Lepisosteus oculatus: one gene and its partner. The main gene of each other region encodes a partner of the protein of the gene in region 2 in a complex. Links are inferred from orthologs where the notes say so. Each region holds a gene or a part of one and is shown on either strand. Other genes may lie near its edges.

Region 1 (3,754 bases), on a different chromosome or scaffold from region 2:
AATATATGACCATCAATCTGAAATATATCAGAAAACCTGGTGTAATGTACTGGTCAGGTGTATTGACTTTTTAGAAGGGGTGTGGAATTGAGGGGTGCATCATATCATACAGTACTGCAGTCAGGAGTTTTTGCATGCTTGTACACAGCAACACTGTATGAATAAATAATACACCTTGTGGCTCAGTAAGAAAAGAAAACAGCCATTTCAATTACCACTGTATTTTTTCCATAAACTTGCATTGCACTAAATGAGCTTAACAAAGAAACAGCACATTACAATAAGAGAAAATACAAAACCATTAATCCAAATAAGATCCCTTGCATGATGTTTTAAGTGTCAATAATGCACTATCTTCATGCTTAACATCAGTATGGTCAGCACAGTTAGGCAGGGGTGCTAATGTTGGAATTTTATAGAGCTGCTTGTTAAAATTTGTCTGTAGATTTTTTTAAGAAGGTGAATTCAACTGGCTAGCTTATTACAACAAACCAAAAAGCTCCCAGTTTCTCTCATCAAATCTTAACAATAGAAAAAACTGAACAACACAATCATCATCAACAACAAAACAAACAGGGGAACCTGAAACAGCTGGCAGCATTTTGACAGTGGGCTCACAAGTGCAAAACTACGCATCATTTACACACCCAAGAACAACCCCCTTGCTTTGATTTTAGCGTTGATTGACGGATAAGCAATAAATCGACTCAAATAAAATCTTTTGACTATCCAATGTGATCTAGAGTGACAAAGTGTAGTAGATCCCAGCCACTGACTTTGCATAGCATTTAACCGAAGCTTCTTATGTTCTCGGTGTTTAACTAAAGTGGCTCCGGTTCCAAAACATGTAAGGATGGCACCGAAATTGAATTACCGACTATATATTCGTACCCCTCTTCTTGTGAAACAAGAATGCACTAAAGGATCTTCATCTCACCCCGGATAACGTCCCTGTGTGTGTTCTTGTGACGCCCGGTGGATGTACATCAGTAAAGAAATATGCAGCCCCAATAACCAGCCAAACCAAAGTATTAAAACAATTAAACACCTGAAGAAGACGTCCTCAAAATAAACGTTAGCTGCAAAACATTATCTGTGCAGTATCCTGCTGTCGTATCCATCAATACCATCAAGACTGTACAATTGACACAATAATACAAGAGGGCTAGCTTTCCCCACTCACTCGCCTGCTTTTTAAAGGTAGGTACAATGCATAAACATTCAGATATATTTTCAAAGGCGAAAAAAAATCACCCACCTCCTTCTTGACCGTCCGCACCAGTCTCTGACGCGTCTCCGCTTCTGAAAACGTGACAAATAAACACACATTTGTTTTCCATAGTGCAGGGTACGCAGCATGCACCCAATAAAATCGTTCATATAATACACTGCATTAAGAAAGGCACCAAAAACGAAACATGGTGATATTTATTCCCTTTTCTCTGTACCTGACATCGCTGTTGCCATGGATTCAGTAGCGCTGTCTCCTCTCAGCTGCGAAAGACCAGAGCGACCGTTCGGCTGAACCTGTGCGAAGTCGCGGCGGCTCAGTGAGGCGCATTCGCTCCTCTCATTCCTTACCCAGAACGCAATGTACACTACAGCAGCGGAGAGCAAATAGCAGCAAGCTGTGGAAAGGGTGGTCTGAAGTGTTTTTTTTTTCCCTTCCTTCCCTAGAACAGTCCGCCTTTTAAAGGAGTACTAAGGGAGCCCAAGGAACTTCCACTGCGTTGACAGGAATACGCGAGATTTCAATAGAAGTTTTCACTGCCTGTGCTCGCCTACGAATTGAAGTTGAACAAGCAGGCGCAATAGGGGCATTAATTGCTTTACAGCACTTTGAAGAATTTTGCTCATAAATAGCAGACTCAGACTAAACTGCATTTCAGTTACACCACACGTCCCGATTATACAGGTATTTTTTTTTCTTAGCTATCCTCACTACAAGACCTTAAAGTTGTATATCGGCATTCCGAAGTTATAACACATTTATAAACATTAATTTTATATAAAACAAACGCAATGGAACAACGGACAGGTACGAAACATCTCATTACCCACTTGTATACCTCTCCTAACGCATTATGCTAAAACGTGCATAATGAGGTGAATGCGTGTATTTTGCAATTAAATAGTAACATCACGAAATTGGTATTTGCAGACTAGTCGAACTACAATACCGAACTGTTGTTAGCACATACGTGCACAACCTGAGCTAAGACCGACAATTAGCACACTGTATAACTAAGGCGCAATTTAAGACAAGATGCTACAATCGTTAAGACTCGTTTCTGTCTCCAAACAGAGAGACCAGAAGGCGATTCGGTAGAAAACACGTGAGCAGCGTTTCTTCCCGGGGATGTTGTGTTGCTTAGCAACCATGTAAGCCTTATTAGTTTAGATAATTAGGCGGACACGATAGATATAGATATAGTGAACAGGTCCACCAGGCTCTTTGAGGTTATAGCTCATCAGCTATAAACAATTCTAGATATGCTTGTGACATGTAGGAGGCAAGTGTCCTCTGTCCATAATTCCCGTGTTATAAGCAACAACCCTGGGCAATAGGCACCGATTACACTTGCTCTCAGAGAAAAAAAGATACGCTAATTCTATGCTAAAGAGTAAAACTTTCATTTTTCATCTTGTGAATTATCTACTTGTTACTGTACAGCTCACTCGCTGATGCAGTCTTGTGCTCTGACTTAGGTAAAGGACAGATGGACTTCCTGCAAGGATTTCTGGTAGTCCTGTAAAATAATTTGTTATACATTAATATCCCAATATTGTTTTCTGTTATTTCTAGATGTAATTAATTAGCCGATTACCCAGCGTGTGATCAGAGTGTTTCTCCAGCTATATAGATAGTATGCTTGTTGAACACGCCTATCAGCAAGGAACTTTCAAAGATATAATCTCCAAAAACTCCTTGTCATGGAAAAACTCCTTCAGGGGAATGACTGTACATACATTCGTGGCACCACTTCAACAAAATAAAGGTCCTCATCAAAAAAACAGTATCACTTTAGGAAATAGAAACAAGCAGAGCAAAAACTGAGCTGCCATTACGTTTCTGTACTTACATTTGGGTCATAAATTTTCAATTTATTGGGAATTTCAAGGTCAGTAAGGACATTCATTAGTAATGCTTAACTGCAGGTGGATATCACTGAAGGGTCCATCAAATACATTAATATTCAGTGTGATGTTCGAAATTCAAGCGTGCATTATAAATTAAAGGAAATAAATGGGTCTCTGTTCCCACATTAAAATGTGAAAAGATTATGTGACAAGAACATAGAACAGGCCTTTGGATTTAATTTCACACATTGCCTAAGATGGAAAATGATACAGCTTTGCAAATTGAAGCCTTCCAGAATGTTGTGCTGTTTAAGTCCCATCTTAATTGTTCATACTGCATACGGTATGTAAGTATGAAATTACACAAATTATTATTAGTAGCATTGTTTATATGCCTGAAAGCAATTTTGTTTTTAAAGTTCAGAAAAATATAATCACTTTGTTGTAAAAAGAACGTTCTTGGATTATAAAATGTTGCTGCTGAAATTTAACTTGGTGTAGCTAATAATTGTAAAATGTACTATGATTCTCTTAGTACCAAACCCTTCATTTTAATACTTGTAGATTCATCTAAGGCTTCCTTTTTAAGAAGCTTTAGAATTTAATAAAAAGAAAACTTTCCTAGATGTGCACAGAAGTAAATGGTCAGCTTGTCTTCCGTACGACATGCAGG
Region 2 (3,754 bases):
GAATAGGTAAAAATATAAAAACAACAGTATAGTGTCTGACTGCCCTTACAAATGAAACAAGGTTATGTTTTATCAACGGTGAACTACTGTATGCCTAGTTGTGTTATGGGAAAATTAAGTAAATTAGAATTAGCCCCTAGACACATTTATTACTGCTGAGGTGCTGCATATCTCTTGCAATACCTCAGTTTATCACTGTGACAGTTTACTGTTTACTGTGATACAGTAGGCCTTTTGAAATCTTCGTAGCACTGGGGCAATCAATTAACAGTCACAAACATTTAATGGTCCCCGATCTTCAATGATTTATGTATCAAAGGAGAGAGGAAAATTCAATGTGACAAGTTCCAGTCTCCAGAGTCATAGCAAAGGATAAATGTTTGCGTAAATGAGCCTTGCCCGGGGGTCACATTTGGATATAGAGTTCAAACAGCTTGACTATTCATGCCAGAGGTGGGAAGATTTTCATGAAGGCTTAAAGCCTGTCTGATCAAATGGATCGTAGCAGAAGGATCTTTTTTCCAGAAAGTTATTTAAAAATAATGTCTCTGTCTTGAAGATTCTCTGTTTGTTGATTCTACTGTGTGTCTCCCCTTGTTGCGTGTACTGTGCCACAGGTTTTGCTGGGTCATGCACGTAAATGTTGTTTTTATGTGATGTAATGCTGGTGAGTGTGATGGGTGTGTGCCCTTACAATTATCACTTTGCTGACTTCTGTAGAAATGTTCTAATAGGTTACTATAGAGAACTGGGACAATTCTAAACCGGCTATACTGTAGGCCATCCATTGCTTACTTCATAAGGGTGTTCACACTTAGCAAACGATCTTTGGACTAGGAATTTCAAGAGACAAACAGAGCTGTGAAGTACAGTACAGTTTAATGTGCTTCATGCAAATGTCTTAAAAGAGTTTTTTAAATAGTCATTCCCTGTAGTCTGTCCTTCAGTTCGCCTACATTGTACTACAATTGATGATCACCATTCTCCACATAAATGCCATTACACTAGCGCGCTAGGTGGATTTCTTTCGGAAAGGTGAACGTGTGTCTGCAAGCATGAACCGCTAACCCGTGTGTGAATACACGCTGAAGACTACTGCACTGAACGTTTACAATGCGTTTTGGAGAGCGTGTAGCTCCGGCAGGACCAGAATAGTTGCTTGTCCTTGTACTCGGAGAGATGATACCGGCGGCGGCGGAGCTCCGGCAGGAGGCGGGACTTGACGCGGGGTCACATGAGAGTCAGCGACGCCATGTCAGTGCGGAGCTGCGGGGCAGGGAGACCGGGAAGCGGTCAGTAAGACGTAAGAAGAGGCGATAGCACCGTCTGACGTTCACGCCGGTCCCCGATACAGGTGAGGCTCAGGTATCTCTGGGGGCTGCCCTGAAACTCGTAACGTGTCATGATCTGATTTCTGCCCGGGCAGCGTCACTGTTTTAATCGCGGCGAGGAATAGGCAGCTATAGTCATCTGGAGGTGGAAGAAAAGTGGCAGAGAAGCAGGCCAGGGTGAGAAACTTACTCAACTGTTTATTTCATAATAATGAATACTAAAAGCTTCACTTGGTTGCCCGCCTTGAAAATATTGTACTGTTTCTCTTAATGCATGATCTGCTAGTTGCTTTTTAGTGACGTAGCAGAGAGGCAGTTTGGTTTGTTTACGCTGAATTAAAACTTAATTTCTGCTGCGCGGTGCAGCAGATTCGTGTGTTTCTAGCTGTATTTTTAATTCAGCGACAACATTGCAATCTTGAAAACGTTTCTGTCGTTTACGAGTGAGCATCAGCGCACAGATCTCCTGTCTAGTGCGGGCCTTGATATTAACAGACGTCCAGTTTTGTTTTCTATATTGTCTTTGTCTGCTTTTGTTTATACGGGCAGTTTCCAGGTGACCTGCTCGGTACAGTATATAATAAGTTAAGTGAACTACACGTACAGAAGACGCTAGTCTGGATATCCCTCTGATACTCGCCTCTCATGACTCCAGGCTTGTGCAGTATTTAACTGTAAAAATGCCAGCTTCCTGGTGGAGTACTTATCAGGAAACACCCCGTAGAAAGAAATATGAAAAACGTTTATATCGGTATTAACATGTACATAGACCCTACTACTCTGTGAGTCTAGGGCGATTTTTATGCTACGAAATTGTTTAACATCAGTTCCTAATACAAAAATTTCTTAGGCGCAGAAGCTGGGAAGAAGAATTAGGTTTTATATCATAAGTAGATCAGTACAATGTATAATTCTGTACCAATATTTAGAAAGAAACTCTTTTTGTAATGGTGTTAGATCAATTACTTGGAACTGGCCACAGTTGGTTTATTTATTTATAGTAAAAGTTATAATTTACTATAAATACTCAGTTTACCTGTAATAAATGCAACCGTTTTTTTTAAGTTACTGTCGGTAACGATCAGGTACCGTATTGAGCTTGAGGGGTTGGGGGACACGAGTTTTTACTTTTTCGTGGGAGACGTATAGAAATCTGCGATCTTGTGACTTGGGAGCGAGTCCTATCTATTGCTGCTGGTCGCGGAGCACATGATTCAAGACACAAACAGAGGGGGTTTCCGAAAAATGAGCGCTGCGGGGCGCCGAGATTTATTTGTGATGTCTCAGGCTTGGCCCTGCAGAAATTGTTACTTTCATGAGAAGGTATTCGTGGGAGATCCTGGAAGGAACTGTGGGTGATGCTAGCAGACAAATGTGGCTGAACGAGAACGATTGAAATCAGGTTTTGTTTGCAGAAAATTGACTCTTTTTAAAGAAAATATGTGAAGTTCTCAACTATTAAATGCCAAAAGTAGATGTATTTTTTTTAACTAATCTACTAATAGCAGATGGTCGTTTGGAAAATTTGAAAGTTATTTTTTTTCAGACTTTTGACTCCATGAGAGCCACTGCAAGCTCTTTAAACATTTCCTAGACCAAACAAGTATTAAAGTTAAAATGTGGGGTGTTTTTCTACATTTGTTTCTTTTAGTGGCCTATCTATTGTTGCATACATGCTATCAAATTGTGATTTGATAGCATGTATTTAGGACTGTATGATTTGGATTCGTTGTTTCAGAACATTCTGGAAACTGTGACTTTGTAAGCATGCATGTGGTTAGTTCAGTGGTGATCTGAAAAATAAGGTCAATATACAACTGTGGTAAGATACTCCTCAACTAACGAAAGCAAACAACATTTCGCATCACTTTGTATATCAACTCTGCACAACATGGGATTAGGGTTATGAGACAAATAATACACACTTTCCCCACATTAAATGTAAGCTCTTCAGAGACTGGATAAAGACATGCTTTAAATGCATTTGAAAAACTGTCGTTAGAGGTTTTACTCCAGGTCAGTTCAGGCAACATAAACTAATAGTTGGTGTATATTGTATGCAGGCAATACTGGTGGTTTTGCAGCCTCAATGTGATCTACTGTTTTTCAACACATCAGATTCATATCTTACATGCTAAACTGTAAGATATAAACAATAGAACGAGAATCATCTATTTTGCCAAGATGTATTTTCTTACCAAGAAGATATTATATAAGATATATAAAAATATATTCTTAATAAAAGGGCGTTTTTATATTTATATATATTTTTTTTTACTATGCAAAGGGTTAGAATGATTTGTCTGAATTGTCCTGAAACATTGTAAAATCACTTAAAGCATAACATCCTTTTTATTTTTCAGTAATAGTTTTTTACACTGCAGTTCACGCTCCTGGAAAAAATCCTTGTTTGATACAGATTT

What was found.
Region 1: the proteins of rab9a (region 2) and sgsm1a are in contact, whole or in part, in a crystal structure (PDB 4QXA), measured with the Mus musculus proteins. The link is inferred for Lepisosteus oculatus from reciprocal best matches to the Homo sapiens genes RAB9A and SGSM1. Residues at the interface, in NP_062747.1 of Mus musculus: Phe37, Thr39, Ile40, Gly41, Val42, Glu43, Phe44, Leu45, Trp61, Arg68, Phe69, Leu72, Phe76; in NP_766306.2 of Mus musculus: Leu256, Leu257, Tyr258, Gly259, Lys260, Asn261, Asn262, Tyr277, Asn294, Met297, Asn298, Gln361.

What each region holds. Positions count from the first base shown.
Region 1 is NC_090717.1:5,669,713-5,673,466, forward strand, and holds the start of sgsm1a (small G protein signaling modulator 1), read right to left. Parts: upstream 2,296-3,754; 5' UTR 1,468-2,295; coding exon 1,449-1,467; intron 1,303-1,448; coding exon 1,259-1,302; intron 1-1,258. UniProt on the Homo sapiens protein: Interacts with numerous Rab family members, functioning as Rab effector for some, and as GTPase activator for others. Promotes GTP hydrolysis by RAB34 and RAB36.
Region 2 is NC_090708.1:21,968,121-21,971,874, forward strand, and holds the start of rab9a (ras-related protein Rab-9A), read left to right. Parts: upstream 1-1,224; 5' UTR 1,225-1,354; intron 1,355-1,368; exon of another isoform or gene 1,369-1,508; intron 1,509-3,754. UniProt on the Homo sapiens protein: The small GTPases Rab are key regulators of intracellular membrane trafficking, from the formation of transport vesicles to their fusion with membranes.